5 linked regions of the Rattus norvegicus genome follow. The protein of the gene in region 1 purifies or fractionates together with the protein of each later gene. This does not show direct contact. Links are inferred from orthologs where the notes say so. Each region holds a gene or a part of one and is shown on either strand. Other genes may lie near its edges.

Region 1 (6,039 bases):
CACGGGGTTTGATCCCCAGAATAGCAAAACAAAACCTCCAAAAATATCACCATCACCCAAAACCCCAAACTATCAAAAGAACCTGCTTTTGTCTTTGCTGTCTGTGTGGCAAGGGATACTGGCTGTCCTTTTATTAAAGAATCCCTTTCCAGAGGAACTGAAGACTGGGACATATCACAAGAGCCATAGCTCTAGATGTCACTGCTTCTCACATTATCAACTGTTGAGCCTGAACTGTCACCTCATGCATGTGACAGCACTGAGTGCCTCCGTTTTTCCAACACGTCCACAAAGCTGCCCTGTCCCTCACCAGGCTTGGGGGAGGTAGTTCATGGCAAGTGTTTGCCAGAGTCTGGCCCTCAGTGAGCAGAAAGGAGAAATCATGACCACAGCAGAGGTTGAGGAGCCCTCAGCCCTCAGTGGAGGCCTCTCTATGCCAGGCGCCCTGCACCCACCCAGGCCTTACCTATGTAGTACTTCATCTCTGTATCATGCTGATTCATCAGCTCCAGCAGCCTCAGCTCAATCTGTGCCTGGTTCAGGAAGGCCTTTTTGTTCTTGATGATCTTGATGGCCACCAGCTCCTGAGTCTGGTGATCATAGGCTTTCACCACCTGTCCAGACAAGGAGAGTTACCTGGGTAAGCGAGAGGCCCACCAGCCATACCTTTCTAACAACTCACAGCCCAGTGCTCACATCCCTTGTAATGGATAAAAAGTAACAACAGTTCTCTTTCAAAGAGTCTTGTGATTTATACTCATCCAGAACTAAGACAGGGAAACTAAGTGGCTTGAGTGGCGGGCCCAGGGCAGGACTTTTAGCAAGTGAACACTCTGGGAGGAGGAAGCGGGGTAACCAAGTGGTTGTCTGCATCACCCAGGCACTGGGCGAGCGGGGGAACCTCGCACCTGGCCAAAAGAGCCTTTGCCAATAAGAGAGTCAATTTCATAGCGCTCTAGCCAGCGCTCGCCGCTGCGCACAATGTAGTCGTGGTTGTCATCGTCATAGCCGTGATTCAGGACCTTCTTCTCCTTTTTGGTGCTCGAGTCCTGGGGTGGCGCCTGTTGGGCCCGCCGCTTCTTCTTCGCATAGTATACCTGCTCAGGCAGCCAGGAAACTGGACCCTTAGTGATCCAGGCAAGAAGCCAGGACCCCTTTCAACACCCAACCACAGAAGTCCATTCCCCACTCACCTCATTGATGTGCTTGTAGGTCTTGATGAGGTCCACTGAGAGCTTGCGCAGCGGGGCCGAGGTCGCATCCCGGAAGGCCAGGGGCAGTCTCCGTGGCAGTAGCCGCACATCAGGCAATACCTGTGGCAGAGGGAGGCAGACACTGAGCACAAGCCTTCACCTCCAACTTCTAGGAGAGAAGGGTAAAGCTGACACCTCATTTGACCATGCCTACATTTCCCTAGCTCTGATCGCATCCTGTATAGGAGCACAAGCACACACTGTGGGTTCCACTCATCCGTTCATTATATGAAGTGAGTGGTTTACCTCTGACCTTCCATTCAGCCCTAGGTCTTTTGCTCCGTATCTGGGTTCTGTCCCCTGAGTCTTTGCACCTGAGACCACTGTTTCTGGGAACAATGCTATTGAATTTCCTGTCCTTACTCTCAAGTAAGTATCTCTGCCCAATTAAAAAGCTCTTGGATTGGGATTAGTCTCCCTGGGTCTCCCACTGCTCTCAGCTCATTTTCCTTCTGGCCCCCTCTAGATTTCTTTCAGGCTTCTCTCTCGTGAACACTCAGACCTGTGTTTCTTTCTGTCTGCTCTGTGCCAGTGACAGTTCTGACCCCAAGACACACATTATGGAGAAGCTCAAGAATTCAGTCCTCAGCAGGAAAGAGGGTGGATTCTTCAAAGTCCAACTACCTGAAACTCTTTTAGTATTGTGAGGCCTCCAAACTCCCCAGAGATCCTCCAACAACCATGCTGTTGTCTGGAGGCCGTTCACTCTTCAGGCAGGTGAGAAGCCTGCTCAATGCCTACCTGTGTGTGTTCCTGGGGCCCCGGAAAGCCAGAGAAGGGACCATGGCCTGGTGGGACGGCCATGGTGGGCTCAGAGGGCCGCAGGGGTGTGAGGCCTGGAGCGGGAGCCCGGCCGGGGGGCGCCTTCTCGCATCCTGCACCTCGGCTGCCACCGCCGCTGAGACCTGAGAGCAGGTAGAAAGTGGGAGGACAACATGAAACAAGAAGGTGTGGAGGTCAGGGTCAGTTAGAGAAGAAGTGGGCATGAACTAGAGGGCAGGACCAGGGGGAGACAGGGAACAGGACAGAGCACAAGCACCAGGTAGCCATGTAGAAACAGAAACGGGTAGCAAGTGGGTTAAAACAGCCATGTCTCTCAACAAATGAGCCAAATGAATGAATGAGGCATCACATTGAGAAAAATGTAAAAGGGAATCATCAAACCAGACAGGGGTGGGAAAGGGCTGGTACAAGGCCAGGGCAGGAAGGAGAGAAAGAGGCCAGGAATTAGGAAAGCAAAAGAGAAGGCAGAAACCGAGTAGTCTGGGTAGTAGAATTCAGGCTTTCTTTGAAATTCTGCCGGTGGCCAGCCTGAGTCCCTCAGAAAAGGCACCGCCCTCACATGGTCTTCCCTCAACAGTGAGGGCCCAATTTCAAGCCTAGCCTACCCACTAGTTCTCTCTAAAGAACATAGCAGTCCTTGTGGACCTCCTAGCAAAACCAAGGTTATTTGAGAACTCCTTTACATGCGAGCTATAGATGTCTCAACCAACATGGCATACTTTCCCCTGGGACCAACTCCATACTCCACCAAGACCGCTCCCTGCTCCCTATATGAGGTCTCCCGCACCAGGGACTCTTCTTCTAAGTAGTCTATATTTATCCCACTAGTATTTTCTTATTACTTCAAGACCCCAACTCCTTAGGAAAACAAGGGGGAGGTGTAATTTCTCAACATCTAAGAGTCACTGTCTTTTTCTTCCTTATCCTGGGATCCTTGCTATCTCCTCCATTTCTAAGCGGGGTCATTCCACAATTGAGCCTATTCCTAGAAGGGCCCGACAAGCCAAATCCCTAAATATCACACAAGACTTCACTCCCTCTAAGTGTCCTTCGGAACAAAATCCCCTCCCTAGGAGCTTCCCCCTTGTCAGATTCCCTTCTATCCTGTCCTGTTACTCCAGGTCCCCTTTATTGGAGCTTCACAGATAAACAACCTCTCCCCAAGCCCTCCCACACTAGGACCAGCTCTTCCAGCACCCACCCCTACCCGGGTCAGGGCTGGCGCTGGGCCCACGGGGGGCTGGAGCGCGATGGGGGCCCCAGTGCGGTGGGCGAGCGGCCAGCATGGCGGCAGCGGCGGTGGCGGCGGCGGCGATGAGGAGGTGGCCGCCTGTCCCCGGCCCGGCTAGCCTAGCCAGCCCCGCGGCAGTGAGGGCAAGCGGGACAGGCGGCCCGGTGGGTGACAACAGCAGCCGCCGCCACTGCCACCGAGGGGGAGGGGCGGGAAAAGGAGGGGACGAGGGTCAGACCAGGGCACGCGGGGGAAGGGGACAGCAGGTGGACGGGGGAGGGGCGGGTTAACCCTCGCCCTACGGCCCAGCCCCGCCCCGCGTGGCCACCCGCCCCCAGGGACCCTGGCGTCCCGCCCCCCACCCGGCAGGCCCGCCCCGGCCGGTGGAGTCCCGGCGGGCGGGGCACAAGTGAACCCGGCAGGCCGCACCTCCCATGGCAACAACCGCGCTATTGGTTGTTGCTGCCAAGAGCTTAACCAATTAGCAGTCAGGGCAGCTGTTGCTAGGCGACAGCGAAGCGGCCAGCGCAGCCGAGCCCAAACAAAGGGCGGGAGTGGGGCCGGGCTGCCCCCCTCCCAGGCTCCCCCTCAAGACAGCTCCCTCGGGCTTAGCCCCTTCCAGGAATTCGGCTGTGAAGTGCCGGGCTGCGCTGCACTGGCCTGAAGCCCCCTCCTTTCCCTTGCTAAATCTCGCGGGGACCGGCAGGGCGGGTCCGGGCCTGCCCCCCACTCAAGCGTGCCATCCCGCCCGTCGCAGTACCGTTACCTGAGGGCGTGGGTAAGGGGATTCAAACTGCTCGGGAAGCCCGAGCTCAGACCTGCCCACTGGCTGAGGGTGTCTGGTGGACGCGGCGAGCCAGGGCCCCGATTACCCAGTAATGCAACCAGCAAAATGGCGACCACAACAAACCGGCCCCCCTGTCCCGGCTCCGCCCCCACACCCCTCACGTGACCTAGTGGAGCACTGTGCGCCTGCGCCTTAAGGGTGCTGAGCCGCGCACGTGCGTAGCAGCCACCAATGGAACGTGCACCATGTGACCGGATGAAACTTTCCAGGCACCCCCCACCACCACCACACAAAGTTGATCAAGGACGCATGCGTCTTGAGGCCACTGAGCAATCAGCACCAGACAGGGAAGACAGATTAGTCTTTTAATAGAAAAATCCCCTGCAAAAAGTCAAAAGCCACATGTGCAACAGTAGCAACAACACACATTTCTTCAATCCAGACAGTCGAGTTTCAGTTCTTCGCCTTGGGAGGTGGCCTGTGAGGAAATCAGAGTGGGTCGAGTTGTAACCAATTTTAGCTTCTCAGGCCCTGGAAGCTCTGGCCCAAAGTAAGGGAGAGGTCTATTCTGGTACTTACCTGTACACACCTACAACCACAGCGTGGTCTCGTTCATAAGGCTCTAGTGTCAACTGCTCCTGAGGCTTCATGTTCTCTTGCTGCATCTTTTTCACTTCAGATGCAAACACAGCTTCTGCTGAGGCTGTGGAGTCAATGCAGTTGGCCTAGAGAGGAGAAAAGACTTTAAGCTAAAAGCATGTCTTTGTTACAGATTTGGAGATGCAGACTTAGCCAATTTCCTACATTAAAGACATTTTAGGGTTGGGGATTTAGCTCAGTGGTAGAGTGCTTGCCTAGCAAGCGCAAGGCCCTGGGTTCGGTCCCCAGCTCCGGAAAAAAAAAAAAAAGACATTTTAATTTAGCTCAGACTGGAAACAGGTTGTTTCCCTTATCTAAGGCAGTGGTTAAAGTCAGGAACACTCTTCCATATTCCGGTAACAGCTGAAGGCCAGCTGGCAGCAATAGAACAAATGTAGCAATAGGCTCTGAAGATGGTGAGGATGCCTGAGAGTTTTCTATATTTTAAACAAATGTTTTGAGAACCATACCTGCTGCAGTTAGTATTATTCTACCCCATAGTCTGTTCCAAATGCCTAACACTTATAGATCTTCAACCACAGAGAAGACTAATAGACCAAGTCAAACAGGCTTCAGCTAAGTAACTTGCTCAGCCAGGACAGATCAAGCATCCACAACGTTCGCTGTTGCTACTCAACCTGACACTGCAAGATCCATACCTTAATGGAAATCACAAAGTGTCCTCCATTCCGCAGGAAGGTGTGGGCATTCAGGGCCACAATTCGGGTTTGGTCTGGCTGGGCCACATCGGCAAAGATGACATCCACCATTGCTAAGGAAAAATGGGACAGCGGTTAAAAACAGAAGTCTGCAGAAACTTTTCCAGAGCCTCCCAACAGGGCCTTGTGCTGTTTCACCACCAGGTTCCTGGGACTCCTCTGCCTCCAGTCTTACTCCCAGCCACTCCCTCCAAAGCACCCCAAAGGTGGAACCAGAACCTAAGTCACTTCACTCATCCGCTCCTCTTATAAGCCAACAGTTGCCACCTACTCTGTGGCCAGCCCTGGGCTGGGTGTGGGGGACACACAGAGAGATCCGGACCCTGCCTTCGAGATCCTCCCAGGTCTGGGGGGGTGGGATGGGAGGGGAGGGGAAGGGAGAGATGGTTCATCAGAAAGACAAGTAAATGTGAGTTGAGCAGTTAAAGACAAGATGTGGGAAGGGCTGTCAAATGACAAGGACCAGAGGACGGGCTGGGTGCACTGAGAAAATGCACAGGTTAAAAAACAAAACAAAAACAAAAAACCAAACCAAAACAAAAAAACCCAAACCAAACCCCATAAAAACCAAAGAAGCACAATGGAAAGGTAATGGTTTAAGGTAGCGTGACTCAAAACAAAAAATGT
Region 2 (5,050 bases), about 160 Mb from region 1:
CCAGGTTCCATATACCTGTCCTATCCATTTGACCACCGAGAGCACTGCCATACTTGGGTGGCTCTGATCCACTGGGCTGTCAAAAGGGCTCTGGCCTTTCAAGATAAGCTGGATATCCAATTACAAGGTGTACTAGTGGGCAACCTAAGCCAGTTGCATTCCCTAATCCTGGAACTGCCTCCCAGTGAGGAGACAGACACTCAAGTCTGAAGCCTGTAACTGGTGTGAGGTTTTTCACGATGGACCTGGCTCACCATAATCTGAGGGGCTTAAACTGAGTCGTCAAGGTCACTGCATTCATCCCCCAGCCTCAAGCAGTGTTCAGTGCAAAGGACAGAAGGAAAGGCTTTTCTAGTTCCTCACGACTCATGGTGTCGTCCACCAGGGCCCGGGATTCCTACTGGATTAGTCCTAAGAACTCCATCACAGGTAGGTGGGTAGCCAGCAAGCAGAGGAGACAGGATGTCAAACAAATTCCCCTAGAGTTTATCCATCAAGCCTTTTTTTTTAACAAAACTTTTTTTTTTTAATTTTTTTCCCCTTTGGGTTTGTACAAGAAATTTACAGTGTGAAAAATATACAAGTGGGAACGAGGCCATAACCCTGGAACTAGGGAGGGCGGCTTGGTCACGAACACAAATAAACAAGACATTGCTGAGTTCTTCCTTTGGTCTGACTTCAGCCCCCTCAGCCCACAAGAGGCTTGCGGAGCTGGGACATGGGGATCAGCCCCATTCCTAGTCCCGCCCCTCCACGTGGGCATATTGAGGGCAGGCACATCTGGGGCAGCTGGTGCCATCTGGTTCTCTCTGGCTTCAGGCAGGTAGAATGTGGGGACAGGTTAGCCCCCTTTCCTTTCCCAGCTGGAGTGGACTGGCAGTGGCGGCGGTGGGGAGTGAAATGGCAGCGTAGGCAGGAGCCTCTGGGTGACAGTGACACTGAACTGCAGGGGGGTTGATTCTGCTTCTCCAAGTTATGGGGCCACCCGAATGCTCGGCAGAGGCCTTTTGGCTCTGAGACCTGGAGCGCTTGCTCGATGGATCCCGGTGCAGGTGGTGCGGTGGCTCGCACCCCTTGCAAAGTCCTAGATTTCAGTGGCAGTGATCTCCTCCAGACAGATGCAAGGGGCCGGCTCCGACAAGCCCAAATCAGCAAGCTCCCGGGCCTCCAGCTCTAGGCTCAGTTGCTGCAGTTCCTGCTCCAGCTGTCGGTTACGCCGGTACATCTGGACATAGTTGTGCTGCAGCTGCTTCTGGTAGCGGATCACCTGTTCCTTCTCCGCCTGCCAGGCCAGCCGCTCCCCCTCAAAGCTGTTCCGTTGTTCATCTCCCCGCCGCTGCTCCCGCTGCAGTTCTTGGCGCAACCGTTCCACCTGAGCCCGCAGGCTACCCCCTGTCCCAGCGGCTGCCCGCTGCACCTTAGCCTCATCACTCTCCGCCAGGAGGAACGGGTCGGTGGTAGCCGGGGGTACAGGGGGCTCCCGGAGTCCTGCTGCTTCAGCATCCAAATGCCTAGCCTTCTCCCGGAGCTGCTCAGCCTCCTGGCGGTACCGCTGTAGCTCCTGTGAGCAGGCCTCCAGCTCCAGCTCCCGAGCTCGGGCTGCCTCCTGCAGGCCCCGGGCACGGCCCTCACTGACCCGCAAGGCAGCCCGGGCCTCTCGAAGGGCCACCCGCAGCGCCACCAGCTCACTACCCTTCTGGACCAGCTCTGCCTGAGATTCCTTCAGTTGCTGCTTCAGAAGGGAGATCTCACCTGATTTCTGACACACCTGTAGGTGAAAAGTATTGAGGGAAGATGGTGAGGCCTCTGGGTGTTGGGCACCGGGCATTCAAGGAAATGCTGTCTCAGGAGTTTACACACAGAAGCCCAGCAGGAGAGCCTAGTGATACGTCCATGGTTATACTTCTATTAAGAGGTGAAAGGGGGGGGGGGGCTGGAGAGATGGCTCAGAGGTTAAGAGCACTGTCTGCTCTTCCAGAGGTCCTGAGTTCAATTCCCAGCAACCACATGGTGGCTCATAACCATCTATAATCAGGTCTGGTGCCCTCTTCTGGCCTGCAGGCATACATGCAGGTAGAAAGCTGTATGACTATACATAATAAATAAATGTTAAAAAAAAAAAAAAAAAGAGGTGATAGGGGAACAGAGACCCAGGTCATTTCTTTTCAGTGCTGGGATCCTTATACCAGATGCTGTATAAACAAGGCCCAGGCCTGGAGACGGAGGCTGCAGGAGTGGAAACAGAGGGATTAACAGTACCCATCTATCATAGAAGGAAACACCACTAGCTATGTGGGTGCTAGATCACAACTCTGAGAACAACAGAGGAACAGGGAAACCCCCAACACAGAAAGAATAGGAAGGACAGACCCTGGAAGGTAGCTAAACACTGGCCACACCTCTGTGTATCTTAGTGTAACCCCTTCAGCCTGCCCAGTACCCATCTTTATTTTTAATATATTTATTTTTTATGTATATCAGAACATTGTAGCTGTCTTCAGACACACCAGAAGTTTACAGATGGTTGTGAGCCACCATGTGGTTGCTGGGAATTGAACTCAGGACCTCTGGAAGAGCAGTCAGTGCTCTTAAGCGTTGAGCCATCCCTCCAGCCCACCCAGTGCCCATCTTGCATACCTCCCATTTGGTCTCCTCTAGCCGTGGCCCAAGTTCCTGCTGCTCCCTTTCAAAAGTAGCACAGCGGCGCTCCAGCTGCTCTCGCTCCTGCAGCAGCTGGGCGAAGTCATCCTGCAACTGGCGCTTCTCTTGCTGCAGCTGGAACACTTGCAGTTGTAGCAGCTGTTGAGCCCGCTGGACACGCTGTGTGGCCTGCTGTGCGTGAGAGGCACAGTCCTCTCGTTCTCCTGGCCAGCGCCGCTGCCGTGCCCCGAATGCCTAGACAAAGACAGAAGGCTAGAAACGGTTGGGTCCCCCCAAATCGTGAGTTCTAGCATCTTCTGCTTGGGTGGCTCCCTGCCTGGCCTGAATCCAGTGAATTAGGACAACCATAAAAGCAGGCACTTATATGGCATTTCCTAGGTGACAGGCATTATTCTAAGTACTTTATCCCTTTCGTCTTATTTAATCTTCATAACCCCTTTAGGGAGTAACAGCTATCCCCATTTAGACAGGGAAACTGGGGCTGGGTGAGGTTAAGCAACTTGCTCAAATCTAACATCCTACAAGCCAGTGCTGGATCCAATTCACATACCTTGCCTCCTCACTGCTTTGAAGGTTATGCTCATAGCCTTGGGGGTGTCACATCATGAGTCTTTACCCTCTTCCTCCCCAACAGGAATTGTCCCTAGGCCCTGGGTATTCAGCCACACCGCCCCAGGACTGCCACTGGCCGCACCTGACACACGGCGGCCTCACTCTCATCCACACTGTCCCGCAGCTGCTGCAGCTCTGCCTCTCGGTCTCGAAGCTTCCCTTCCAGGACACAGTGTAGCAAGGCCTCATCCGAAGGGGGTGGAGGTGGTGGAGGGGGTGGGGAGCGGTCTCCACCCGAACTGCTGCCAGGGGAGGCCCGGGCCCCACTGCCCAAGAGCCCCCCAGCTACACGAGCCCCCAAGGAACCTGTGCTTTTGCTGGAGGAGGACCGGCCACTGTCTGAATGGGAGGGCCCAGTAGGGACCCCTCGGGCTGGACCAGGCAGTGGCCCTCGGCCAGGGCCGTGGGAGGGCAGGTGCCCACCTGGGGAGTTGGCAGTTGGCTCGGCACCTCCGGTGCTGTAGGTGGGCAAGCTTGATAAAGAATTTCGGCCAGAGTCTGACAGTGTTCCTGAAGGGCAGCCACTGGCCCAACCGCTGAGTGCCAAGGGTTTGTCAGTAGCAGAGGAGGAAGAGGAAGAGGAGGAGGAAGAGGCTGGCCCCCCAAACAGCTGTGTCAGGCTGCCCTGGCTCCCAGATAGCCCAGCAGCTCGAGGACCAAGGAAGCCAGGTAGGGATGGCGCCCCTCGAGGTTTGGGTAGCACTGGCTTGAAGGCTGTTGGTCGGATCAGGATCTTCTCCATATTCTGAAATGAGGTAGCATGTGACACTGTGAGGATGATCTGCCCGACCCCTTTCTTTTTAAAAAATTTAGTATTGTTGTGAGACAGGGTTTTACTCTATTGGCCTGGGTCCACTCACTATGTATCCCCTTGAACACAAGCCCTTCAAGATTACAGGTGTGTGATACCAAGCCCACTTTGCTTACTTGATCTTTCAAAACACACACACACACACACACACACACACAGAGGGGGGTGCATATGTATGAGTATGGATACGTGGTGCCTATGTGTGAAGATCAAATGTCAAAGTGTCAAAGTTAGGAGCTTTCCTCAATCACTTCCCACCTAAGTTTTTACACAATCTCTGGACCTGGATTTCATCAATCCAGCTAGTCTTGACTGGCTAGCAAGCCCCAGGGATCTGCCTGTCTCTGCCTGACAAGTGCTGAGATTCCAGTCCTTTGCCACAACGGCCACCTTTTTATATGGGTACTGGATCTGAACTTAGGAACGTGTATGAGTACACTGTCACTGTCTTCAGACACACCAGAAGAGGGCATCGGATCCCATTACAGATGGTTGTGAGCTACCATGTGGTTGCTAGGATTTGAACTCAGGACCTCTGGAAGAGCAGTCAGTGCTCTTAACCTCTGAGCCATCTCTCTGGCCCACCTTGATCTTACAAAATCATCATACTACTTGGCTTTCCCATACAGGGTTCTCACCCCTATAAATGAAAAACAATGGTTCCCACCGTTTCTTTCTTTCTTTCTTTCTCTCTCTCTCTCTCTCTCTCTCTTTCTTTTTGGAGCTGGGGACCAAACCCAGGGCCTTGTGCTTGCTAGGCAAGTGCTCTACCACTGAGCTAAATCCCCAACCCCGGCGGCACCGTTTCTAAACGTCTACTTATGTTAAGTAATTCAAAATGCTTATTTTTAATCATGATAATAGCCACGCAAGCAAAACATTATCCTCCTCTCCTACTAAAAACAGGATAGAGTCAGTCCCAGAATAAAGGTAAACAAAGGCTTCGCCCAAACACACACACGCACG
Region 3 (5,534 bases), on another chromosome or scaffold:
GTGCCAGGAGGAAAGACAGTCTGAAGTTGGTCTTTGTTCCCACTTAAGTGCTAGCACAACACATAGGGACAGGGGACAGACGACTGCCTCAGCAGCAGACAGACAGACAGAGCCAGTGCTTGTACTGTTCATGAACCAACAGCTGACAAACAAATACACAGAGACGTTTAATTGAAGAAGCAAAGAGGAGGAAAGGAGTGAAAACTTAAAACCCAGCCCTGGGCCGCGGTGGTGCCACACAGCACAGTCCAACACAGACAGCGGGGTAACTGGCCTGGACTTCTACAGCAGCTTCTGGACACAGTGGGTTAAAGCAACAGTAGACATACTGGCCACTGGGAACTCTTCTTACGTGGGAAGGAAGGGGGCAGAGGCTGAAGCACACAGCCCCTGCCTAGTCGGTGAGGTGCCAACACTACACGCGGAGGATCTCCAGGCAGTTGTTGTAGCAGATGGCGATCCAGTCAGGCTGGGTCGAGGCCCACTGCACATTGTTGATCTCCCCTTCAGCTGTGTAGGCCAAGATAGGGTCCTCGATGGCCCGAGGCATCTGCTGGATGTCCCAGATGAGGGCCTGATGATCATCCGCTGGGGAAAAAGCAAGTAAGAAGGCCAGAGCTCAGGTGATGAGGTGACAGTCTTGTATTTGGAGAGGCAGTCACAATTTGCAAAACTTTGTAAAAGGAGCTTTATTTCAGAAAAGAGGAGCCCAAGATTTACTGATGTCCTCGGACTTGCTCCCTAATGCCATGTAGCCAGTGAGGACCAAATCTAGGTCCTGACTCCACATCCCTGGTGTCCTTAAGCTCCATTTCCTGCACCAGGCTAGAGAATTAGATCAGGACACTGGGCTGAGGAATCAAGAAAGGACACAAGATACAATGATCCCAAAATACGATGTCACTTCAGCCACTAAAAATACTTGAGTGGATAAAGATGCTTCTCTGACGACTGTTTCCCATTTATGTACATTTATATTTCAATGAATTGTACAGATGACTGACATAAAGTGCTATACAGACATAAACATTAAAAAATTCCATCCATGCCTGTAATCCCAGTAACAGGAGCAGGAAACACAGCTGAGTGACAGAGTGCCTCTTATCGTGTTCAAAGTCCTAGGTCCAATCCCCGGTACCATCAGAAAATAAACAAAAAACCTGAATTGTTGCCAACTGATGTGTTTCGCTAGGTGTGGTGACACATGACTGTGATGAGAGCATTTTGGAGGCAGAGGAGGCGGACTGCTGCCATTTGGAGCTCAGCCTGATAAATACAGCAAGTCACCGCCTGCCAGCATTAATTATACAGCAAGACCCTGACTCAACAAAATAAATAACAAAATAAAACAAACTTAAGACCCGATGCCTCCCCCACCACGGTCACCTGACCCTGATGCTGCCTCCCACCATGGTTACCTGCAGTGCAGATGTGGCAGGACGAGTGTGGGGCCCAGGCAATGCCATTGACGCATGCTCGGTGGTTGTTTAGCCTGGCAACCGGTGTGCAGGGAACTCGGACATCCAGAATCACCACCTGCAGAAATACAAGAGAAAGGCCCATAACTGCAGAGTGCAGCAGGGAACACCCACACACCCAATTGTAAGAATGGTCTCTTCATTTACGGATCTAAGAACGCTAGAGGTAGCATTTCCTGAGGCAGAAACGAACAATACAAATGAGCAAACATAGACCCTGTACTCTCCATGCTGAGAGACTGGACACTAAAGAGACTGAAGGGGAAGGGGAAGAAGGAACAGGCAATATGAGTTTGATGATCCACAAGCATCTTTGCTAAGAGCCTACAAAAAAATTTGTGCATCTCAGTTAGGTGGAATGTGTCTTACCAATGCAGAACCCAGGATGTAAGAAGTCTGAGACATCAGCCGCACCCAAACCGAGGCTAACTACCTACCCTCTCAACCAACAACCCACCCCTCTCCTGAGAACTGGCAGACCACAGAGCCTCTGCCTATACATCTGCCTGCAACAGCTGCAGAGTCTGCCTAGAACACCGAGTGGGAAGGCCTCCTTTCTATCAGTCCCAGTAACCGTGACTTGGTTTAAATATCATCTAGCTATTACTTGTCTAACCCTTTTTTCTTTACTGTGAATTGTTTATTTGCATTTTTAAAAATTAGTTAATACAACTAATTCATGACAAATTACCAGATGGATTTTATATTATTTCTTCAGGACCAGAGTTTTTACACTTGAAGCTAGGAAGCATAGGCATGCATGTGTTTAGGTGTAAAAGGCTCTTGCACACTCTGGGCCAGGAACAGCAAGTCCTCCCGTACGCCTGCTACTCTGACTTGTACTCTTATCTCATCCATGAAGTTTCTGTCTAGGACCAGCTTCCTTAATAAACACCACTTTCCCAAACAGAGACTGCTGAACCAAGGACAAGACCAAGCTTGAAGAGCCTCCAGAATCATGGTGACTCTGTGGTATTTGTACCGAGTCCCAAGCTGCAGACCCATCACCACTCTTCTACCGGTCTTAGCATCACTTTACCAGAAATTTATTTACTTGCTTACTTATTATTTTTGAGACAGGATAGCTCTATGTGGCCTTGTTGTCCCGGAACTCACTCTGTAGACTGGACTCAAAGTCACAGAGATCTGCCTGCCTCTGTCTCCCAAGTGCTGGGATTAAAGGTGTGTGTTAGCATGGGTGTGTGTTAGCATGGGTGTGTGTTAGCATGGGTGTGTATGCATTTTGTTTTTGTTCGGTGTTGCTTTTTTTTTTTGGACTAGGGATGGAACTCAGGGCCTTGAGCATGCTAGACAAGCACTCTGCCACTAAGCCACATCCCACCACATCAGACCCTTGCACAGAAGGCCGTGTGACTGCACTGAGCTTACGGCTCACCTACGATGCTCAGTAAGTTCCAAGCTCATCTGGCTACAGAGACTGTCTCACCGAACAAGCAGGGAGCAGGTTCTGAACACAGTCCTTTTGTGGATGGGACCCTCAGTCTAGTGCCCACTGGCACTGTTGGGGCTGTTTTGTGTACTGCAGGATGAGTAGCAGCCTCCTTAGTCATTACTCATGGGATGCCAGGAAGACTCCATGCTCTAACTTGTGACAATCAAAAACATCTCCATGAGCTATCCTGGGTACTGGCTGCTAACATCTGAGAGCTACTCTTGTAAGTACACTGGAGTCAAGGGACAAGGCTTCAGGCCTTACCTCCATTCCATCCATGGCCATGGTGGCCAGGTAGTTGGGGTCCTGCTTGTTCCAGCAGAGGCGAAGCAGGGGGTGGTGCTGTGGGTCTTCATAAATGATGGTGCTGTGTTCCAGATGGCGGAGGTCGAACATTCTCACAGAGCCGTCAGCACCCACAGAGGCAAACATGTCCCTGCCACCTCCAGCTCGGCTGAACGCAATGTCATAGACCTGTTGGTAAGAAGCTTCAGACTCAGCCCAGTCTTCTCCTTTCCCACAGCATGGACATCAGTCACTTCCAGATCATCTGATCCCCAGCTCATGACACAAAGGCAGGTTAAGTTTGTGGCTTCTCAGAGAATAAAGATCATTCTACCATAGACACTGGCTGACTTCTTCCCATTCCTGCCTTCTACTTTTCCTCTTTCAACCCTGAGATAAAACAGAAACGACATTTTCTGGCTGCCAGTGGTTTCACTTACGTGCAGTCAGATGCAGAGTCATGATAAAACCACATTGGCTCTACCAAGCTGTTCAGCTATAAAACCTAGACGTGAGATCCATTTGTATGAAAAAGGTAACATGCTTTTGGTTTTGTGTTTTTTAAGAGGACAACTAGAAGCTGGAGGTATGGCTTGGTGGCAAAAAGTACTTGTTGCTGTTACAGAATACCCAGGTTCAGCTACAAATGATCTGTAACTCTGGACCGGAGGATCTGACACCCACTTCTGCCTTCTCATACTATGTACACATGTGGTACAAGGACATAATGCAGGCAAAACACCCATACACATAAAATAAAAATAAGTAAATCTGAAAAAAATAAATTCTCATGTGGCCCAGGTTGACCTCAAACTTGCTATGTGGTAAGGGCTGTGGGGAAAGAGAGTGAGTGAGAGTGAGAGAGAGAGAATGAATGTGTGTGTGTGTGTGTGTGTCCTTATGTAGCAGAACAGCACTAGACAAAGCCTTTGTCTACCTGGTGTGTCAGGCCTAAGAAGACAGGGTCTTGTCATGTAGCCCAGGCTAGCAAACTTTAGACTGTTCTATCTTTACCACCTATGCACTAGAATTATAGGCATCCAGGATCCCCTTTTAATCACTCTTTCCTTTTCCTGTTGTTTTAAGACAGGGTCTCATACAGCCCAGGTTAGCCTTAAACTTGCTATGATATAGCGGGAGATAAGCCAGAACTCTTGATCCTCTAGCATCTGCCACTCAAGTGATAGGAGCACAGACATGTGTGACTATACATGGCCCTTTTGAATCAGTCAATCTTACACAGAGAGCTTCTTTATGGCTAGAGGAAAGGGTGAGCACACTGATCACAATAGGTGGGTATCTACTAGAGGAAAGGGTGAGCACACTGAACACAGATAGAAGGGTATCTACTAGAGGAAAGGGGTGAGCACACTGATCACAGATAGATGGGTATCTACTAGCAGTATTTGTCCCTTAGTATCCAGGGCAGCCAGAGGACCTTTTTTTCCCTAAGATTTGTATTTTATCTGTATGAACGTTTTGGCTCCTTGTATGAATGTGTACTTCATGAATAGCTGAGGTCAGAAAAGGGCATAGGATTCCCTGGAACTAGAGTTATAGATGGCTGTGAGCTGCCATGTAGGTGCTGGAAGTGAATCTGGGTTCTCAGGAAGAACAGCCGAGGCTCTTAACCACTGAACCATCCTTTCAACACAGACCTTACTTTATATTTGTTTGTTTTTTGTTTTTTGAGACAGCATTTCTGTGTGGCACTGGCTGTCCTGGAACTTGATTTTTAGATCAGGCTGGTCTCAAACTCAGAGAACCATTTGTCTCTGCCTCCTGAGTGCTGGGATCAAAGGCATGTGCCACCCCACCTGGCTTCAGATCATATATTTTTAGTGAGATATTCTTCTCATCCTCCACCCTGACATCTGCTGTCATCATTACCAAGATTCTCAAGTGTGCTCTGTGTTCAGCACCTGCTTTCCTGTTGGCTGTAGGTAATCCTCCTGCGGAAACACTGGGGATTCCCGCAGTGTGGTTCAGAGCACAGAGCTCTCCCAGCTTAGGTAACTGCTGTTACCCGCGCTCTACCTATGGGGTTCAGCACGAAAGAGGGCAGGTAGCAGCTCCCAATGTACTAAACGCTCCTCTACTACATCTGCCAGGCAGCAAACCTTCCCTGCCCTAACACACACACACTCATACACACACACATACTCATACACAGACACACACACACAGACACACAGACAGACAGACAGACAGACACACACACACACACACACACACACACACACACACACACACACACACACACACGGCATTTCCTCAGACAGATCTGCCATCACAGGTTCCTTCTTTCCAGTCTGCCA
Region 4 (6,192 bases), on another chromosome or scaffold:
AAGATGGTTCAGTGTTTTAAGAGCACTGACTGCTGCTCTTCCAGAGGTCCTGAGTTCAATTCCCAGCAACCACATGGTGGCTCACAACCATCTGTCATGGGATCCGATGCCTCTTCTGGTGGGTCTGAAGATGGCTATAGTATATTCATATACATAAAATAAATAATTCTTAAAAAATAAAGTAAAAGGGGCTAGAGATGGCTCAGCAGGTAAAAGTGCCTGCCACCAAGCCTAACAATGTGAGTTTGATTCCTGGGACCCTCACAGTGGACAGAGAGCATCAGCTCCTAAGGGTTGCCCTGACCTCCAAGCATAAGCTCTGGAATCCATGTGGACAAAGACACACACATATATACACAAATACACACACACACACACACACACACACACAAACACACACACATACACAAACACACACACAGGGAGGGAAGGAGGGAGAGAGGGAGGGAGGGAGGGAAGAATAGAAAATATAATTAAACTTTTTAAATAGAACTAAAATTGGTAAGATAGCTCACCAGGTAAAGGTGTCTGAGTTCAGTCCTCCAGACCCAAAAACTGAAAAGGAGGAGAGACTCCAGCGGATTGCCATCTGGTGACCTCTCATATATGACCCTAGCATGTAAGTACCAATGCACATGCATACAACACGCACACAATGTAAAATAAAGAATCCCATATAACCATGGACTCTATCACTAAGTTATGCTATTCACTTCTCTGTACCACGTGACTCACAATAATTGACATGGGCATTGAGCCCAGTAACTACCCAGAGTTTATTCTAACTGCTCTGATGCTGCCTCTCCACTTCTCATCTCAATAAGACAATGAAAAGAAGAGAGAACAAAAAGTAAACTCCACAATTAACCCTGCTGCTGAGTTACTTTCTGAAAGCACATCTAACCCAGACAGGCTCCTGGCAGGCACTGAAGTTGAATGTTTAAATAGCTTCCATGGATAAGTGAGTAGTGACTTTATCAGAGTCAAGAGAAAGACATTTTGGAGGCTGGAGAGATGGCTCAGAGGTTAAGAGCACCGACTGTTCTTCCAGAGGTCCTGAGTTCAAATCCCAACAACCACATGGTGGCTCACAACCATCTGTAATGGAATCCGATCCCCTCTTCTGGTGTGTCAGAAGACAGCTACAGTGTACTCATATACAAAATAAATAAATAAATAAAAAATAAAAGAGAAAGACATTTTGGATCATTCAGTAATTAGTTCAAAGCACAGAGAAATAATCAACCAGCTAGGGATCCTGAGATCTCCAATTTAGGGACTCTGCAATACTGAAGCCCCTGGTGAAGGCGGGGTCTCTGCTCACGCCATAAGACACCTAGAAGCTAGCAGCCTGATGATGAACCCAGGCATGTGAGGGTTCCAGAACTGCATCAATTAACACCTTTGTTTCTACAGTAAGAACTTTTACATTTCATCCAGCCTGCAAACTGGTAATCTCCCTTCAATCAAAAAAGGTTCCAGTAACTACAATGTCTCTTTCTAGATTTGGTCACATAAACATGGAGCGGTTTAATCACAGTGGTCTATGGCTAGAAAGACTTCCCCCACTTTGTATGGATCTAATTAGAGTAAAACAAGAATATATTCCAAAAGGAAGCCATCAGATATTTACACTTGAGTAAGACTGAAAGACAAGCCGTATCCCTCATACCTAGTTTAAGAGTAACTACTGTTTTTGGTTTTTTGTTTTGGGTTTTTTTTTGGGGGGGGGGGGCGTTGGAAAATATGAATGAGCACACAGGGAGTCTGATGGCCCCAGAAATAAAGCCTCCTTCACACTGACTGTTTACCTTAATTAAGCTCTCCTCAGGGTGTGTTGGGAATCAACTTTTTAAAACATTCTGCTATCAGGCTGAGGCCGGCGTCTCCTTCCTCATCTACTCCCACTTAGCAGCTCATCTTCCATACACCAGATGCACTACCCGGCTCCAGGAACTCAACGGCAAACTGCAGAAGTCGTCAGCATTCCTGTAATCTTGCTGTGCAATGCATTTCTCGGACATTCTCTTATATATAAGAAGCTACTCCCTTGATCTAATTTGAAGACTTGTTCTTTGTGAAAGACAAACAGAACCAAAGCTCACCTGTCACCACTTGTTCTTAACCCATCTAAAGGCCAATATGAAAGCTAAAATGAGGTCTTGTGTGAAAACCGCCTGCCCATTATTGCAGGAGAGCATTTTGTAGCAGGGCAACGTAGCAAGCATGCTTTTGATAGCATGGTTCTGATGCTCAGAGGGCAGAGACTAAACTATCTACACAGTGAGTTACAGACCAGCTGAGGGGCTACAGTAGACCGTTTCAACACACACACACACACACACACACACACACAAAACGGGTGTGCCTTTAATCCCAGCACTAGGAAGGCAGAGGCAGGCAGATCAAGCCCAGCCCGGTCTACACTGCAAGTTCCATCCCAGCCAGAGCTAGTGAGATTGTTTCAGGGAGGAAAGAAAGGGCAAAAAATAAGTCAAAGAGAAAAACCAGTATCTCAGAAACACACTCAGACCCTCAGGCTAGCTATCTAACATTTACGCATATGCGTAAATATATACATAGACCTATGCACACACCCCAAAGCAATCTTGCTCAACTTCTCCCTTCTTGCTGCTCATTAAGTCTTACGAAATGCAAAAACTGCTCCCAGCTTCACAACTCTTCTATGATCCAAATCCGCCTTTGCTGATGCATTCAGTCCTCCATATCCGAAACTGTTTTGTGGAACAGAAACACTGAGCAGCACACATGTGCTATTTGCAAGCAGTAATCGCGTCACTAAAACAAAAGTGACAGGTCCAGCCCTAGCAGTAGCGACACAAGGCCAAACCCCAGGGTTTATCATTTCCACAAATTGAGCCAAGGCCCAAGGTTAGCGGCTGCACCTCCACGGCGGGGACCCGCAGAGGCACGACGCATGGGTGGCGGACCGAACGCCCCGCCCCGCCCCTCCCCACCGGAGTGCTGCAGTCCCCACTCCAGGGCACGGGACCCCAACCCTCCACGTACCTGCTTTGCACACCGGGGCGCTGGGGCTCCTCTTCTCCGCCGAGGGCCGACCCTGCTCTGGGGACCTCCTCCGGTGGCGAACGCGGGCGGGGTGTGGGGCCGCACTCACCTCGCTCGGCCACAGGTGGGTGGGCGACGAACTGGGCGACGACACGGTGCCCAGTAGGGGCGGCGGCGGCTGCGGTCGCGGAGGACTGCTTCGGGCTCCAGGCGCCGTGCCGCGCGTGGGGCTGGTGCCGCGCGTGGACGTCACGGACGCGCCCGTCTGCGTGGCCACCGTGGGGCTGGTGCGCGCCGCCGCGCTGCCGCCGCCGCGCGTGGGGCTGGTGCTGCGTGAGGCGGTGCGCGGGCCGCCGCCGCCGCCGCCACCCGAGGGGCCTGAGGCGCCTCCGCTGCCTCCGTTGTTGCCGCCGCCGCCGCCGCCCCGCGTGGGGCTGCCATGTTGCTGCTGCTGCTTTAGCTGGAACGGCACTGTCGCCCTCATAGGCTGCAAGCGGCTCCCGGGGCCCCCGGCCGGGCCGACCGCGCCACCCGCGAGGGCGCCGGCGGGCGTGGGAGACCCATTGCGCCTCACCCGCTGGGACATGGTTCCCCCCCCCCGCCCCAAAGACGGCGGCCGGGGGTGCTGGGCGGCGGGGACCTGCTGCTTGGGGCCCGAGGAAAGGCCCGAGCCAGCGGGTGACGAAGCCTGACTTCGGGAAGAGGGGGCGCGCGGGCAGCGACGAGGTGGTGCAGCCGCCGCCGCGGCTCCTCATCAACAATAGTGTCTCCTCCGTTGTCCCCGCCCCCTGACGCCGCTCATTGGTGCAGCGTCAGCGCGCTCCAGCCGTTCGGACTCGCTGATTGGCTGCGTGCTGGTCGGCTCCCCGAGGCTGCGTCTGCTCTTTAAAGAGAAAGAGGCCCGCCCCCGAGGGGTCGAGCCGCGGAGGAAACCGGCTGTGGCGGGAGGGGGAACGCCGGGGGGGAGGGGGGGCGCTTTTGCGGGAGCGGGGGTGGTGCGTGCGTGCGTGCGTGTGTGTGGTGTGTGTATACACGTGCGTGTACGTGTAGGCGCGCGCATAGCCACGCGCGTCCCTGTTTCCCGGAGGGAGCCCTTGGGACTCCTGGAATATGGCCAAAGGGACGGACTGTACCGGACCACCTTGTCCCCAGGGATGGTCTGAACCGAGTCTTTCTGTAACTCATTTCCTTACAACAGTGGTATCTGTTAGTTAACACGTACGCACATCACTTTGGGGACCCCCTCACCCCCTAATCTTTGTGCTGTCCTAATTCCATCTACCTATAGGCAGGGCTCGAAAATAAAAGAAATTTAATCTTAGGGTATTTTATATCTTTCTTTCCTTTTTCTTTTTAGCGCTACAAAGATTCCAATTTCAGAATGATTACATTTGCAGGTTAGAATGCAACTTTAGATGATATCTGTGAAGTTGTTACCGAATAGTGTTGCTATTACCCCCCCCCCCATAAATCTCAAGTAAGGATTCATTTAATCAATTACTTCACAGTTCCCTTATACCTTAGAAAAATGACTATTAGCTTGCAAGTCTATAAAGTGCTGCGGCCTCCGTTTGATTCTATTTGATACAGAACTGGGTACACTACCCATATTTTATTTATTACATTTCTGAATTTGGCTTGTGTATAGGCATGTGTGTGCATGTGGAGGTCAGAGGACAACCAGTTCTTTTCCTCCATGTCTGTCCAGGAGATCAAACTCACAGATCTGGCTGAGCTGTTTCATTGGCCCACCATTCACAGTTTAGTCCTGTAGAAAAAAAATAAGTCTCCAGTTTTCATAAGAACTTTCTGAAAGGAAAGAAATTCTAAAGTAATATGTGGGTTCCTCTAAAATTAAAAAGTCAACATACATGTTGCATGTGACGTCCTTAATCCCTTTGCAGCTTTAATCGATGTGCATTCTAAAAAGATCTCTTAAACGTGGGAGTGATGGTTCTGGTAACGGGCCTCAAGCCCTATTAGGTTCCTGTAGAAAGCCACTGGGTAGGTTCCTAGAATCCTGGAAACAGTCAGATCCACCACATAGTCTGTGATCTTGGTATGTCCATAGAGAAGTTTCTTGTTTGTAAGGCACAGCTAAGCAATACCATCTCCTGCAGCAGACAGTTCTGACTATTAACCACGGATCTGATGAAAAGGTGCTAAACAGGGAGTTCTCAAAGATCCTTTTCTAGTAGTCTCCCTTTATTCATTCATTCATTTATTCATCATTGTATTTATATATGTGCATCCCAACAAACAAAAACCTCAGATAGGCTGTATTAGATCAAAAGTTAAAATATTTTGCATAGTTTAAAACCTGGTCTGCTGGAGTTAGTTCCTTTTTTGTTTTTAGGATCGAGTCCAATATAGCCCACGCTAGCCTGAAACTCACTATGTAGCTGAGCACGGCCTTGGGCTGCTCATTCTCTTTTCTTCACCTCGTGAAAATTAAGATTTATGCCACCGTGGTTAGTTTGTGCAGTGTTGGGACTCAAAACTGAGTGATGTCTCCTTTGTTCACATTTTCTCCTAGCCGTGTTTCTCACAGGATCACAGATCCAAAGACACAAAAAATAAAAAACAAAAAGCCTCCTTTTATCTCATTTAACAAGCCTGCTTAGTTCATCAACTTAAAGCTGAACTTCCAACAGAGAAAGCCAGTATTAATCACTGAAGCCACCATTATACCAAAGGATATTTGTAGTTATTTGTAAATAAAAACTATGAAATCATCAGAAAGTCTTAGCAGTCAAAATGTAAATAGAATTGTAGAGTTGGATGCTGTAGGGTGGTTCTGTTTTTAAGGGTGAATGGGGATGAATAAAAGCACCATTTATTCTCGCCCTTGCCCATCACTGCTTTTGAAGAATCAAGACAAAAAATACATCAAGGTAAGGTCTTTGTGTTCTGACTCCTCAATGAAGAGTGTCCTTGTTTGTCAAGGATCAAGAAAATAAGCACACAAACACACACACACCTGCTTGCCCGACACCTCTCAGGAGATGATTTGAAGTTTACACTTTCTCCCAAGGTTGAAATGGGACTTATGAAATTTTAGGCAAGAAGTAACATATTCAGATTTGTCTATCTGTGTTTGAACTTGTAGTTCTACCATGTATGAGGCAATTCCTGCACAGCAAATAGTAACACAGGAACCTC
Region 5 (6,028 bases), on another chromosome or scaffold:
GTTAGCCTGGGCTACAAGATCCTGTCTTAAATACAAAAGAACAAACTAACAAATGATTTTCCTACAGGACAATAGAAATAAATAGAACTCAGAAGTTGGCACTGACAAGAACAAAAGATTAAAAAAAAAAACAACAAAACAAAGCTGGTGGCCAGGCAGCGGTGATGTACCTTTAATCCCGGCACTTGAGAGGCAGAGCCAGCCTGCTCTACCATGCACGTTCTAAGACAGCCAAGGCTACACAGAGAAAATGCCATGAAAAACAAACAAAATAACCCAAGCTGCTGTGAAGGCTGGACACCTTCAATACTAACACACTGGAGGAGAGGCAGGGGATCTGTAGAACTCAAGGCCAACCTAGTCTACATAGTGAGAGCCTGTCTCTAAACGAAACAAAACAAAACAAAACAAAGACCACCAGAGAACTAGAGCTAGGCTCATCAGGTGTGGTCACTGAGAATCAACAGAAGACATGTGTGGACAGAAGCACAAACAAACATATAGTATATAGAAACCGCAGATTCCTTACCAGACACAAGCTGGAAAGGGTCCCCACAGTTGGGTATGTCTGCATGATCAGGCAAAGGCTGAGAGAGAGATCATCCATCATTATTTGGGTTCAAGACAAGGACATTTCTAGAGAGACCTCTTACATTCTTCCTATAAGTCATGGGCTACAAGGATTTAGACTTCTGTGTTGTTCTCTTCCTATAGTCTTCCCCAAGTTAGTGAGAAACAAGCCACACCTCAAACATCACAAAGCCCCTTTCACCCAAGTTTTAGTGTCCCTGCCCCCTTCCTTTTGGGCTGGGTTTTGAGCGGTTAGTAGGCTTTTCCACTACAAGCAGGTTTCATACAACACAGAACATGGGTAAAATTATAGCAACACACAGCCTCCAAAAAAGGGGGTTAGATGATGGAGCAGAAGAAATACTGGTCTTTACCAGACTGAGGCTGAAGCGTGTACATTTCAGCTCATCCAGCGTCTGCTTCTGTAGCTGCTCAGTGATCAGGGTTATCATGTTTCTGCCCAGGACTTGACTCGCACACTTGATGGATGTCTTCCCTGTGGTTCTTCTGGATCTCACTCATGAGCCACCTTCTGCCACTGCAGCACCATTGGGACCTCCCTCTCCAGTCATGCCTGCGGCGTCTGCCAATTACAGAGGGGTCAGCCCCCAAGTAACATTAGATGGAGAAGGCATGGCACACATACCACAGTGTTCCTATGCCAGGCCTCTGGCAGACATCGTTAATCGATCATAGTACTTTCCTGGTGAGCTTAAAGACAGCCTCAGAAACACTCTGAACTTGGCACTCTTGATATCCAGTAAAATAAACTGGAGTTGGCAAGCAAAGTGAAACCTACTTACCATTTCTAACCTGGCTTAAGTTCTGTTGTGTCTACCTAGAATATCAGCACCACCTAGAAAACGGCTCAAATGAGAGAGATGCCCAAATGGTTATTTCCACACTGAGTTAACACAATATTTTCTTTATCTTACAGCCAGAAGCCAAGAAAGAAACCCTTCTAAACCACATGGGTTTAGTACAGAGAGAGGAGCAAGGGCTGGGCTTTCAGTTTCAGATCAGGATAAAGAGGATTTTAAATGAACAGCTGATATATTGCTATTTCCCAGTAGATGCTGCTGGCTATTCTCTTATCCAATGAGAAAGAATGGTCAGGTAGTCAGATAGTTCCAATCACAATCACATTTCAACTCTACAGATATTAAAAACAACTCATGACTTCATCCAACCAAGTTTTTTTCTTTTCATGAACCCACTCGAAGACCATGGATATAATTAACAAAGATTCTTCCTTATGACTGAAGCAAACTGATTTTTTTTTTTTTGTTCTTTTTTTCAGAGCTGGGGACCGAACCCAGGGCCTTGCGCTTCCTAGGCAAACGCTCTACCACTGAGCTAAATCCCCAACCCGCAAACTGATTTTTAATCTGAGCAGCTTCTAAACCCCAATTACCTACCTAAGGGACTTTTGCTTTGTTCAAAGAGGGAAGCAGAGGGGAGGTTAACAATGTCTTTTCTACCTCTTCCCATAAATGACCAACAGGCAAGACCAGAGTATATGGAGCATTAACTGGTATAGAAAACAATCAACTAAGACAGCTAACTCTTGAGCAGACGCCTGTAATCCCAGCACCTGGGCAGTGAAAACAGGAACCTAACAGTTCTTGAAGGCCAGTCCGGAAAGAAAATGCTGCTACCTTCACCGAGTCTTAATCCACTCTGCTCAGGCAATTTTGACTAAGCACATAACGTTCCTGCTTGCCCATACATAAAATGGGTATAACGATCTTACTCTATCACAGGAATGAGGCCACATGAAATATCAAAATAGCTTACCAACTGGCCTATATAAAATAGTTCACACAGACTGTTGTTTCTTATCTCTCCCTTTGCTGTTCTTCAAAGCCTTGGTATGCCTAAAGAGGTGGTATCACTACAATGACGAAAGCTATGTGGCTCTCTCTGGCCAGATGCCAACCTCCTTCACTTGCTCACTGAGTTGGAGCCTAAGGGCTCTTCCTCCTGTGACCTTTTGGAGAAGCCCACCCCTTGCAAAAAAAAAGAAAAAAAGAAAGAAAAAGAAAAAGAAAAAGAAAAAAAAGAAAAAAGAGGGTATCAGAAGAACATGACAGAGAAGAGCTAAGTTCCTTATGATGCATATGGCGTTCTTTGGAAGAAAGGCGCAGACGTCAATCATCACTATAGTTAACTATCGTTTCCACACATAATTATTACTACCACTCCGAACAAAGTTCCAGCTTCCTGAGAACTCCCTTCAGCTGCTTCCCCTGTGCTGTGCTCTGGTGGGAGAAGCAAAGAAGCTTGAATCACTTCTACTCCTATTTTCTAACTCTGCCCTCAAAAAACCAACAAGAAGGGAACTAAGTGGAGAATTTACCCTAGAGAGACCCCAGGCTCTAAGCTGACCAGCCATGAGGAGCAGGGAGAGAAAAAACTTTCAATCTTTTCATGAGGCATTTGGACAAACAGCAAACTCCCAGCCCTCTCCAGGAGCAGCTGAAGAGGGTGATTTTCTATTTTTCTGCATTTTAATTGTTGGGATGTGGCCACACACAGCGGTAATTGGAACAATGCAACTACCACCACGCAACTGATACTCTCAGCCTGGGTTTCCTAAAACAGGCCAGGCTGAGAGGGGCAACAGAACGGAAGCCATAAGGAATCAAACCAGGACACAAAAGAAGGCAAACCAGCTCTGCAAGGGGCCTCCTCTTTCTCAAGCAGACATTTAGAAAAGTGTGAGAAACCCTCTCTGGCGGCCTTCCTTCCCCTTCCATTTTGTGTATCGGAGAGGTAGACAGCTCTCAACATTTCACTAAACAAGTTAAAACTTCTCAGCTGAATGTTACTGGCACAAGGCTCAACCCTTCACTGAGCAAGCAGGCCGCTCGGCCCTCCCAGTAACCCCACCAGGCCTAACTCTCAGCCCAGGATCTCCCTCCACCACAACCCCCTAAGATAACGACTAGACACCCCCCCCCAATCCTATTGGATGGAAGCAACCCCTGACACTTGCGTTTCAGATATTTAGGTTGTGTTGAAACCTGGACAACCTAAGATCCAGTCAGGCCAGGGGAAAAAGAAAGTCACAAATCCCCTGGGGGCATTCCCCCAGGTCTCCAGGTCCCACACCTCTGGGAGAAACTGAAGGAAAACATAAGCGAGGCAGGGAGATGCAAGAAACGGTAAGTGGGTATTAGAATGCTCTTCTTCCATATGGTTCTAGTGAAGATAGGGGTGACAAGTGGGGTGCACCCATCCCCCCACCACGACGAAAAAGCAAACGACTAGGCTCCCTCTAATCTTCAACCTCTCCCTCTGTTGCCCTGCCTGTCCCCGCGGGGTGGGGCATGGGGCATCTACTGGCCCCCGGGGGGGCACTCCAGGGTTTGCTCAGAGAGACTGTCGCTCTCCTGTATCCATTCTGGTTTCCTCATCTGACCGCGGGAAGCGAACTCAGGACGCAGGGGATGGGAAGGGTCTGGGACATGCACTCTGCCACCCCCTCCCCCACCGGGTCCCGTGCTCTCCCGCCGAGGCGGCCTGCAAGGCTCCGCCGCACTAGCGGCTGGACTGGGGGAGGGGAGAGAGGGAGGGACGGTCGCGGTGCCCGCCCCGAGGCCCCAGCACCACCTGCCCTCCGCTACCTACCGCGGCTCTTACAGCTCCCTGGGCCGCGGCCGGAGCAGCTCTGAGCGCTCCGTTCGCCCCACGGTGCCCTTAAAAGGCGCTGGCAAGAACCAACCGGTCTTTGAGGAGAGTCGAGGGGGTCGCGTCTAATCGCAGAATCCCCCGGAACCTCCCGAAGAGGCCCGAGCCCTACGTGGTGTCTCGCGCAACCTTTCTCAGTAGAGTGCTGTCGGAAAGAAGCCTAGAGCTGTGGTTTGGGAACCGGATGGTTTCCTCACTAACTATTCCCCCCCTCCAAAATATCGTAGAAAGTGGACGGGCCCAGTTGGAAGCACATCACGAAGCCCATAGGGGAAGCCATGTCGGATAAAGGTAAACAAAGCCATTGTCCACTTCTTCCATTACACCATCCTCCCAGCTGAACTGTCTGACTCAACTCAGGCCACAAAACAGTATTAGCCACAGTCTTCTCACCTGGGCTCCTGTCCCTTTCGATACAGCCACCTTTCTGTAAGCATCCCCCCACCTTCCCCCGGCAAGGACTGATCCTCGGCGTGAAGGCTGCTGGGAAATGTAGTCCAAGCGCCGGTCAGGGCCTGCTCTGAGTCCCCGAGCCCCTCTTCTAGCTGCCTGATCTGCTGGAGCTTTTATAAACCTGAGATTTATAACGGTTGCGGAGCTGTGTCCCCTTGCTCGATAATTTGTTCTCAAAACACTTTGTAAAGCTGAGGCGGGCCTGAAGCTGTTCACTCCCTCCCTTCCCTATCCTCCTTATGCCCCCCCCCCAAGCAGGATGAGGTAATGGGATTGTGATTATGACATCATAGGTGGTTCAGTTGCGGGGTGTATAGGGGGTGGAGCAGGATGATTATGGCTGGACCACTTAAAGACAGAGGGAGGGAGGAAGCTGACATATGAGGAACCGATGTCAACAGTACTGTATTTCCTCTCCAGGAACTGGAAACCACCTTTTTATTAAGTTTACACCACTATTACCACCTCCCACCTCAGCCAAAGTTTTAAGTCCTTTTTCAATAGCCTGAATGTTGATGTAAGTAGAGAAGAAAGCCCATAGAGGTTCCTGCTCTTCGGTAAATTGGAGGTCTCAGCTGAGAAAAAAAGTTTTCAATAAATGCTTTCATGCGCAGATGGAGTTTTAGATTTCTTTTTTAATCGGTTAAAGTGGTAATTAAAAAAAAAGTAATTCCAGTCATTTCATTATTATACAGTTGTAGCAGCAAATCCCTAAAAATAAAGTGTTCGCTGTGAATGCTTTGAATCCCCCCTTGTCTGGGATAGGTAAACAGCAGCAGACTTAGTGATGGAGAAGTTCATCTTTGAGCTGGGGAGGGCAGGAAGCAGGAACCTTCAAGTATGCAAACTGAAAAAGAAGAGTAAAAAAAAAATCATTAAAAAGTTGAGGTGGGAAGCCAGGGGCAGCGGTACACATCTAAAATTCCAGTACTTAAGAGGCAAAGGCAAGAAGGCTGCGTCTGCTTCCAGGCCAGCCAGTCAGCATTTCAACTGCAGAGGCCAGAAAAGGGTTACACAGTGAAACAAACAACAAACAGACATCTGTGGAGATTAATTTTGCTCTGCATATTTTCCTTTGACAAAGAGTAAAGGAGACATGGTTCCTGCAACTGCAAGGAGCTACATTCTTTGTTTGCTTATCTTTGAGACCGGATCTCATTTAACTCTGGCTGGTCTCAATCCTACTATGTAACTAGAGACGTCCCTAAACTCTGTTCTTCCTGCCTCAGCCTCCTAGGTCCTGGGATTATAGACAAGAATTACCATGTCTACTTGCACTATATGCTTTAAGTAAACATATATATTACCGTTC

The links.
Region 2: the proteins of Dyrk1b (region 1) and Lzts2 purify together in Homo sapiens (affinity purification with mass spectrometry; 3 studies listed by BioGRID and IntAct, counting the BioPlex papers as one, with this or other methods). This does not show direct contact. The link is inferred for Rattus norvegicus from reciprocal best matches to the Homo sapiens genes DYRK1B and LZTS2.
Region 3: the proteins of Dyrk1b (region 1) and Dcaf7 purify together in Homo sapiens (affinity purification with mass spectrometry; 10 studies listed by BioGRID and IntAct, counting the BioPlex papers as one, with this or other methods). This does not show direct contact. The link is inferred for Rattus norvegicus from reciprocal best matches to the Homo sapiens genes DYRK1B and DCAF7.
Region 4: the proteins of Dyrk1b (region 1) and Fam117b purify together in Homo sapiens (affinity purification with mass spectrometry; 3 studies listed by BioGRID and IntAct, counting the BioPlex papers as one, with this or other methods). This does not show direct contact. The link is inferred for Rattus norvegicus from reciprocal best matches to the Homo sapiens genes DYRK1B and FAM117B.
Region 5: the proteins of Dyrk1b (region 1) and Fam53c purify together in Homo sapiens (affinity purification with mass spectrometry; 3 studies listed by BioGRID and IntAct, counting the BioPlex papers as one, with this or other methods). This does not show direct contact. The link is inferred for Rattus norvegicus from reciprocal best matches to the Homo sapiens genes DYRK1B and FAM53C.

What each region holds. Positions count from the first base shown.
Region 1 is NC_086019.1:92,604,874-92,610,912, reverse strand, and holds the start of Dyrk1b (dual specificity tyrosine-phosphorylation-regulated kinase 1B), read right to left. Parts: upstream 3,460-6,039; 5' UTR 3,323-3,459; coding exon 3,244-3,322; intron 2,159-3,243; coding exon 1,995-2,158; intron 1,314-1,994; coding exon 1,194-1,313; intron 1,098-1,193; coding exon 909-1,097; intron 615-908; coding exon 467-614; intron 1-466. Other genes in the region: Fbl (rRNA 2'-O-methyltransferase fibrillarin), read right to left, coding at 4,508-4,532, 4,634-4,779, 5,353-5,465.
Region 2 is NC_086019.1:253,833,065-253,838,114, reverse strand, and holds the end of Lzts2 (leucine zipper putative tumor suppressor 2), read right to left. Parts: intron 4,019-5,050; coding exon 3,356-4,018; intron 2,896-3,355; coding exon 2,638-2,895; intron 1,769-2,637; coding exon 1,085-1,768; 3' UTR 501-1,084; downstream 1-500. UniProt on the Homo sapiens protein: Negative regulator of katanin-mediated microtubule severing and release from the centrosome. Required for central spindle formation and the completion of cytokinesis.
Region 3 is NC_086028.1:91,486,656-91,492,189, reverse strand, and holds part of Dcaf7 (DDB1- and CUL4-associated factor 7), read right to left. Parts: intron 3,406-5,534; coding exon 3,196-3,405; intron 1,537-3,195; coding exon 1,419-1,536; intron 589-1,418; coding exon 416-588; 3' UTR 1-415. UniProt on the Homo sapiens protein: Involved in craniofacial development. Acts upstream of the EDN1 pathway and is required for formation of the upper jaw equivalent, the palatoquadrate. The activity required for EDN1 pathway function differs between the first and second arches.
Region 4 is NC_086027.1:68,831,931-68,838,122, reverse strand, and holds the start of Fam117b (protein FAM117B), read right to left. Parts: upstream 3,770-6,192; 5' UTR 3,617-3,769; coding exon 3,031-3,616; intron 2,946-3,030; exon of another isoform or gene 2,867-2,945; coding exon of another isoform or gene 2,650-2,866; intron 1-2,649.
Region 5 is NC_086036.1:26,636,998-26,643,025, reverse strand, and holds the start of Fam53c (family with sequence similarity 53, member C), read right to left. Parts: upstream 4,246-6,028; 5' UTR 4,204-4,245; intron 3,738-4,203; exon of another isoform or gene 1,154-3,737; 5' UTR 1,023-1,153; coding exon 945-1,022; intron 588-944; coding exon 530-587; intron 1-529. Other genes in the region: Slbpl (uncharacterized protein LOC100363294), read right to left, coding at 5,498-5,563.